Rattus norvegicus: one gene and its partner. The main gene of each other region encodes a partner of the protein of the gene in region 2 in a complex. Links are inferred from orthologs where the notes say so. Each region holds a gene or a part of one and is shown on either strand. Other genes may lie near its edges.

Region 1 (3,913 bases), on a different chromosome or scaffold from region 2:
TTGTTAGTTCGTTCTCCATATAAACAGTTAGCAATCATTTGGGAAACTCATTTCTTAAGCTATGAAAACTATTAAAAATAGGGATAACTGTATATTGTATAAGATGCCTCCAAAGTCTTTTTCTTAAAATCTTTATTCTGTCTTCACCAAAACCAATGGGTTAGGCAAGACAGGTGGCTGCCCTTTGTGTAGGGGACCTAGAGAGGCAAAGTGAATCACTCAGGGTCCATAGGAACTTATTAGCACAGCAAGGACTAGAGTCCAGTTTCTCAGCCGAAGCCACACATCAGTAGCATATGACTGTGGAGACAGGGAATGCGGCCAAGTCAGGCTTATCATTCTCCTTTAGCTCCACTCCCCAAGCTTTTGTCTCATTTCCCAAACACTGTAGCTAGATTTGCTTTTCAGCAAAGGTTTTTTTTTTTGTCTGTTTTTTTTTTACACAAATTCTCTTTCTAGCTACATCTTATTTAATAAATGCAGAGCCCTATGTTTTTTGCTTTATGATATGTAGTTTTGACTAGCAAAGCTAGGAAGATTTTATTGAGTTTAGAGATTAAAGAATCAAAGTCTTGAGAAGCAATTAACAGGCAGCACACCAGGTGTGAAATCAATCCTTATTTTTGCTAACATCTGTCTATTTCTTTACCTTTATACCAGGTTCCAGATTTATGTTAGTAAGATTGAAATTGAAATAAGTTTATTACTTGTGGACTCATTTGTCACTTTCCTTGAAACTGGTGAACCCCAACATTTAGACAGCAATAGGAAAATACTGCCATTGTCTTTTAAGAAGTCTGACATTTCAAGGCAAGAATGAATGTATGGAAGAAGAAACTCGTTTCTTCTTTACTAACAAAAGGGAAAGCCTGGAAGTGGATGATATGGGTGTAATTTTAAAAAAAGAAAAGAAAAAACCTTTACGTAACTTTTTTGCTGGGACAGAAGACTACGAAGCACATTTTCCAGGAAGTGTGGGTTGCGACGATTGTGCGCTCTTAACTAATCCTGAGTAAGGTGGCCACTTTGACAGTCTTCTCATGCTGCCTCTGCCACCTTCTTGGTCAGAAGACACCATTTCAGCTTTCAGCCAGCATGATAGAAACATACAGCCAACCTTCTCCCAGATCTGTGGCTACTGGGCTTCCAGCGAGCATGAAGATTTTTATGTATTTACTTACTGTTTTTCTTATCACCCAGATGATTGGGTCGGTGCTTTTTGCTGTGTATCTTCATAGAAGATTGGATAAGGTAAGGTGATCTACAAATCTGAATGAACTAAATTGGGGGGTTCTTACTAATTTGTGGATAGGTTGAGCTAAGTTCTACCCAAATGATGGAGAACAGTAAACCCTTTAAGTGGATTATATTCTTGTGGCATGTTACTTGTTGCCTAGATCTCAGAATCTGAAATCAGTCAGCCTGGCTTCGAATTTTAGTTTGGCTTTTAACTGCATTGAGATTCTGGACACGTCACTTCATACTTCCATTGCTTTTTCTGTATCAGGGAAATAGAGGTAGACTTAGTGCCCATGCCACAGAGCAAAAGATTCTAGCCCCGAAAAGAATAGTGCCTGGCCCAGGGTAGTACATGCTGGACCACCAGCAGCAGTTAGTTCCTAAAAGGTGCTTCCTTAGTAAACTATTTTCTCCCACAAAGATAACTTTAAATGAGCCCCACGAGGACAACTTTTAAAAGTGAGCCAGAGAAAAAGAGCATTGATTTGATCTGAATTTCCACTGTGTTTTGAATTAGTACAGACACGGACAATGCCCCCAATCTGCCAATTTTTAAAGTCAGAATGGTGCAGTCTGTCCCACTCTTCAATGCCAACTGCCATTGTAAACTGCTCTGTACTCCTCTGAGGTATTTTACGTGCTTAAATGATTGGATAGATAAAGACAAGAGAGGACAAGAAGGGTGCAGACAATTTAAGAAAAGTAACTTCAGGATTTACCCTGCTCCCTTGTGCTGGTTCATATCCACTGAGGGGCATATGGGCTATGTTATGAAATGCTAATCACAGATGACTAGGAGAAAAGCAACCAAGTATCTAGTTGTTCCTACAAGGCTGGAAGTGACAGTGGCTAGGTACCAACAAATGGGTAGCAGTCTTCTCTCTGGGGCACTGGCTGCCCGTTTTTTGAGATGAGGGCCTAAATGAAGGCCCTAAAGTTTCTATCAATATAAGAAGAGGTAGCGACGGTAATGAGAGTGGAGATAATCTGCTTGCCTGCTCAACTGGATTTCACAGAGGAACAAAGAGACAAGTTGGGTATCTGATTGTTCGTTTATTCATCTGTGACCTGCTGGGCTTCATCAAATGCCTGTATAGAGATAGGCCTTGAGGATAATGGGGAACTTGTAGCCCACACAGACTCAAATGTGCTGTAATATTTAAGTGAACTTTAAATGACAGTTTCGTGCTGTAGTTCAGAAGGGTCTGGAGCTCAGTACATATACCAGACTGGCTTTTAACTCACAGGCACACTCCTGCCTCATCCTACAAGTATAGAGTTTACACATGTCCTACTATACCCAGATTGGTTCTTGTTTGGAAAGTTAAGAATCTGCACTTAAGACACGAAGACGTTGTATGGAATTCGTTGACAACATGAGTTAATGGCATATATTAAATTACTCAAGTATTTAAAAACAAAGTATCGCATTCACTTTGTTGAGGAGAGATAATTTTTTTTAAAATGCAAATGCTTTCTACAAGTTCTGAAGAAATGAGAGGTGTAACTATAAATTCATGCTGTGAGCGAACTCCTTTGTACTGGGCCACGTTATAAACACTACCATGAAAAGGGAAAACTACTCAGCAGCAAACTACTTTATGGCTGGCGGGGAAAAATGACAGTTATAGGACATTGCTGTTGTGGTAGGCTGAGATGAAAAAGTCATTAGAATAGCTGTGATTTCTATCCAGACGCACAGGTAATATGACATCAGAATCACCGGCTTTTTAGCTGCTTAAATGGCAAGTACCGAACAGCAGGAATCCAGCACAATAACTTCTAATATTCCCCCATTCCCCCTCTGTCAGTGCCGTGGAAGCGAGTGTGAAGGCAGGCGTGATTAGCTGCATTCTTCTTCATTATGGTTCTCATCAGCCTTTCTTTCAAAACAGGTAGAGGAGGAAGCAAGCCTTCACGAGGATTTTGTATTCGTAAAAAAGCTAAAGAGGTGCAACAAAGGAGAAGGGTCCTTATCCTTGCTCAACTGTGAGGAGATGAGAAGGCAATTTGAAGACCTTGTCAAGGTAAGGTGCTCAGTGCCTGGCGGATTTCACCGAGAAGTTTTAGTACATTTCCCAGTTGTGCAAACTGAGTTCTGACCCTGCAAAGGTTTAAACTGTAAGCCGGGATAGTGGTCACAGCTTCGATCTCAGTGCCCAAGAGGCCAAAGTCAAAGGAAAAACTTCCAGGCCAGCTTGGTCTACAGAGTGAGACATTATCAAAATGTGTTGTATATAAACATGCTTGTGCACATATATACATGCACACGCATATGTGTAGGTGTGGAAATGTGTATATACAAAAAGAAAGAAACGAACACAAAGCCTTAGGCTAAAAAGCAGAGCAGGGCTGAGTTGGACATGTGCAACCAAAAAGGTTTTCATTCCATGTACAGAAAATATATAATCAGTTAACAGAGTAAAGAGCTCAGGAGCTTACTTCGTCTGTAAATTCATGACACACATGGAAGTCACAGGACAACTTGCGAGTCTCACGTCTTTCCTTCCACTGTGTGAGTCCTGCAGGTTGAACTCACACCTTTAGGCTTGGCCTTTACCCGCCAAGCCAACTTCATTGTCCTCTTCAGACCTTACTTATTTCGGAACTTAATATGCATTCTCCTGTATGGAAGAAGATTCTAAAAGCTCATTCCTAAGTCACTTACTGGGAT
Region 2 (3,913 bases):
GCAGATGTGAACCCTGGTTCAAGAATGGGGGCAGTGGGGGCTGGGGATTTAGCTCAGTGGTAGAGCGCTTGCCTAGGAAGCGCAAGGCCCTGGGTTCGGTCCCCAGCTCCGAAAAAAAAAAAAACCAAAAAAAAAAAAAAAAAGAATGGGGGCAGTGGAGTGTGGAGGTGTGGGGTGAAGACAGTACTAAAGGTTCCTACGTGGTGGAGGGAGATGACTAAATCCCTTATAATGTTCTCTGACCGCCATACAGTCTAAGAGGGGAGGGGGGTGAGGAGGAGGAAGAGAGCAGGAGAAGGAAGAGAGGAGGAGGAGGGGGAGGGGAAAGGCGGAGGGGGAAGGAGGAGGAAGAGAAATATGAATGATGACTAGTGGGTGGTACTGGGGGAGGCGACACCCAGAGTAAAGTGCCTGCCACACAAGCATGAGGACCAGAGTTCAAATTCTTGTTCCTGACACCTCCCTACCCCGTACCCTCTCGTAACGTTAATGGGGAATAGGGAGTGTCTCTAGTCTTCTAAGGGTTCTCAAGGAGCCTCTGATCCTATGAAAGGCTGGTCCAGATGGTAAATGCCTGTCTCCAGACTCTGGATGGAGCCGGGATGGGATAGAAGTCCGTGGGGACACGTGAGTGGCACGCATGGATGAGAGGATGGGATGCTGCCCCTATTCGTGGGAATTTCCTTCTCAAGAAAGAGAAACTGAGTAGGGAACTCATTTCCTTGAATCGCCTCCTGGCCCTTCAACTGTGGTCTTTCCCGTTTTCTGAGTTTGCGGTGATGCTGGGGACTTCCTTAGACCTCTCTGGAGAGGCTTTCGGTTCTGCAGAGATTCCCGGGGGTATTGGGGTGGTGGGGAACCAAGAGCGTGGCGCTCCCATGTTCCTAAGTAATCCTTCTCCCCTCTGCTCCCTTGCAATCAAGAGAGTCTTTAGCCCTGCTGTAGGTGGCTTTTGAGGTCCTGGTGGAGTGGGGTGGAAAAAGGGCTCCTTTTGAGACCACTCCTCGTTCTGCCACCTTGGTGCCCATCCCTTAAACTCCTGTGGGCAATTAGACTCCCGGGAAGGTCCTGGGGAAATCCCTGCTCAGTGACTAGCCAAAGATCCACCGCGATTGGTTCCCGAAGACCCCGCCCCCTTCCTGGGCGGGACTCCTAGAAAGGACTCTGAAGTGACTTGTGGCCTCGTTGGGACCCCTGTGATCTGGCTGCTCTGATCTCGCTCTGCAATGCTGCCTTTGCCTCAGCTGTGCGCGCTCTGGGGCTGCTTGTTGACAGCGGTGAGTGGTTTCTGTTCTAACCTCCTAGGGGAGTTAGGTCTTTGAGAGTGAGAGATGGAAAGAGGCGACAAGACTTCGGAGATGAGCGATCTTCCTAGTTGATTTGGGAAAAGCGGGAAGCGGTGAATAGGATGGGCAAGATCTCTCGGGTCTTGACTAGAAAAAAAAATGAGGTAGACTACCCCACTTTCCGCCTAGAAGGTTGGGTTTCTGCTCCACACAGTCCACAGAGGGCGCTTAGGGAGGGCGTTCCTACACAGCGGTGCCCGGACTGCTTTATTTGATCCAAGCCTGGGCTCAGGAGCTGGCCACAGAGACTGGAAAGGGTTAGCAGACAGGAAAGCCTGGTTAGGGGAAGGGGCGGGTCTGGCCTGTTTCCTGTCACTTTCCCATTGTGGACAGATGTCTGCCACCAGTGGTTATCTTCTGCTTGCCAGTAAGGGCCACTTTCAACTAGAGAATCTTGTGGGAACAAGCCCCCAGGTACCTTTTCGGTAAGAAGTAATTTAATAACGACCATACCTGTATCCTAGTCAAGCCAATCTAGAGAAATCGCCAAGTTTGTGTCTCTGCCTCTTGAACTTAAGATAGTACAGGAGACACTGGGACAATAAGGAGGAAGGGGGGAGGATGCAGAGGAGGAGGGAGAGGAGGAGGAATAGCTTTAGAACCCAAGAAGAGAGAAAGAGACCAGACTGGGTTTCTCCAGGCACCAGAAGGGCTCAGACCCAGTCAAGCAATCAAGCACGTCTCGGGGATTTTCAGTCAGCACTCGATTCACTTTTGGTTTAAATGTGTTTCTGCAGTTCCTCATTCTGGAGTCTGGGAATCCCCTGATTACCTGAGTCTCATCCCCTCTCCTCTGTTGAGGCTCCCCTGGCTTTCTAGCACAGTAGATTCTTTTTGGTTGGAGACAGAGACTTGGGTTATTTCATGGGCTTTGAATTGTCTATGCAGGAAGTCGTCCTGTTTCAGGCCTGGTTTACTGCAGCTGGGATAGTCAGTGACCTAAGCGCATACTTGTCAATCCTCCAAGGTCGCCTATCCCGGGTTGGCCTCAAACTCCTGATCTAGTCGAGAATGACTTTTAGTTTTTCTTGTTTCTGTTCATGCGCGGGTTGTGTGTTTGCATGCATTTGTGTGGGAACACATGTGTGCTTGCATGTGGTGGCCTGAAGTTCATACTGTGAGTCATTCTTGGACACTCTCCCCCCCTTACTCATCGGGACAGGGTCTCGATCAAACCTAGAGCTCCCCATATGGTAAATCTCACTAGTCAGCCTGCACTGGGGATCCCCTGCTTCTGCTTCCTGAAGCTGGAGTTATTGGGGGGGGGCACTGCAAAGGCCTGGTGTTGCACATGTTTCTGGAGATCTGAATTCTGGCCCACACATTCACATGGCAAACACCTTACGAGCTCAGCCATCTCTCCTGTCCTTGAATCTCTGATCCGCCTGCCTCCACCTCCCCAGTGCTGGGACTACGGGCATGCACCACCATGCCCAGTTTTATGTGGCACTTACAATGGAACCTAGGCCTTCTTGTATGCTGGGCAGTCACTGTATCAACTGAGCTACATCCCCGGCCAGAGTAGACTCTGGCGTGTGGTCTGCCGAGGATTGATGTGGAGGTCGCCAACAGGAGAGGAACAAAAGTGAGAGACTCGCTTTCCTGGCTTTTACTTTTACCCTAAGCCAGTGGTTCTCAACCTGTGAGTCGTGACCCGGGGTGGAGTCTGAAGGACCCTTTCACAGAGGTCTTCTAATACTATCAGAAAACACCGATATTTGCATTATGGTCCAGGGCAGTAACAAAGTAACAATTATGAAGTAGCAATAAAAATAATTTTACAGTCCAGGGTCACCAGGACTTGAGGAACTGTGAAGGGCCACACCGTTAGCATGGTTGAGAAGCATTGCTCTAAGCAATGACTTTTAGGGAGACAGGATTCGGGAAGAGGGTGGAGTGCGTGAGAGAGAAGTGGATGAGGGCCTTTGGGAAGGATGGAGGAAGGAACAGGGGTGCGATGAAGGGGAGTCTGGACCACCTGAGAGCACAGTCTGCCCTCATAAGCCCCAATCTGGGCTCCAGGGAGGGGCTGGGCCCTGACAGAAATAACAGGTGCTCTTTACTGAGATCTTCCTGTGCATGGGGCTGTGAGCGAGACTGTGTATCGCCTTCATTTGAGTTCTCGCAACGTCTCTGTTACACAGATGACCAAACTGAGGCTCAGAAAGGGGAGGGGTTTTACCCAGTCTCTCGACGTCGATATGAATCTATGCCTGCCTGACTTCTGAGTTTGCCACTCACATGCAAGGGGTCTCCAAGCTGTGACCCTGAGACCTTTTGTGGGGGAAGGACCATTGCTTCAGGGCATGGAAGCTAGGGCTGACAAGCCATCAGAGGGAAGGTGTCTTTTTCAAAGATGCTATCGAGGATGTCCGCTGTTCTAGAAGGAGGGTAGGAAGTCTCCGGGAGTGCTTCCTGGGGATGATGCCCTGTAAGGGGCAGGCGCTGTCAGGGGCCTTTCATTAAGTGACTTACTGAGTGAGAGATCTCAATTTCCTGGATTCTGGACGGTCAGACAGTCACTAGGGTGCAGGACATCCAAGGAGACACCCAGCATCTATGTGTGT

What was found.
Region 1: the proteins of Cd40 (region 2) and Cd40lg are in contact, whole or in part, in a crystal structure (PDB 3QD6), measured with the Homo sapiens proteins. The link is inferred for Rattus norvegicus from reciprocal best matches to the Homo sapiens genes CD40 and CD40LG. Residues at the interface, in NP_001241.1 of Homo sapiens: Glu64, Ser65, Glu66, His76, Cys77, Gln79, Tyr82, Asp84, Asn86, Leu87, Trp109, Cys119; in NP_000065.1 of Homo sapiens: Ile127, Glu129, Ala130, Lys143, Gly144, Tyr145, Tyr146, Cys178, Pro217, Cys218, Gln220, Ser245, Gln246, Ser248, His249, Gly250, Thr251, Gly252.

The regions. Positions count from the first base shown.
Region 1 is NC_086039.1:140,163,313-140,167,225, forward strand, and holds the start of Cd40lg (CD40 ligand), read left to right. Parts: upstream 1-1,028; 5' UTR 1,029-1,095; coding exon 1,096-1,251; intron 1,252-3,134; coding exon 3,135-3,266; intron 3,267-3,913. UniProt on the Homo sapiens protein: Cytokine that acts as a ligand to CD40/TNFRSF5. Costimulates T-cell proliferation and cytokine production.
Region 2 is NC_086021.1:174,208,561-174,212,473, forward strand, and holds the start of Cd40 (tumor necrosis factor receptor superfamily member 5 precursor), read left to right. Parts: upstream 1-1,201; 5' UTR 1,202-1,226; coding exon 1,227-1,277; intron 1,278-1,363; exon of another isoform or gene 1,364-1,771; intron 1,772-3,913.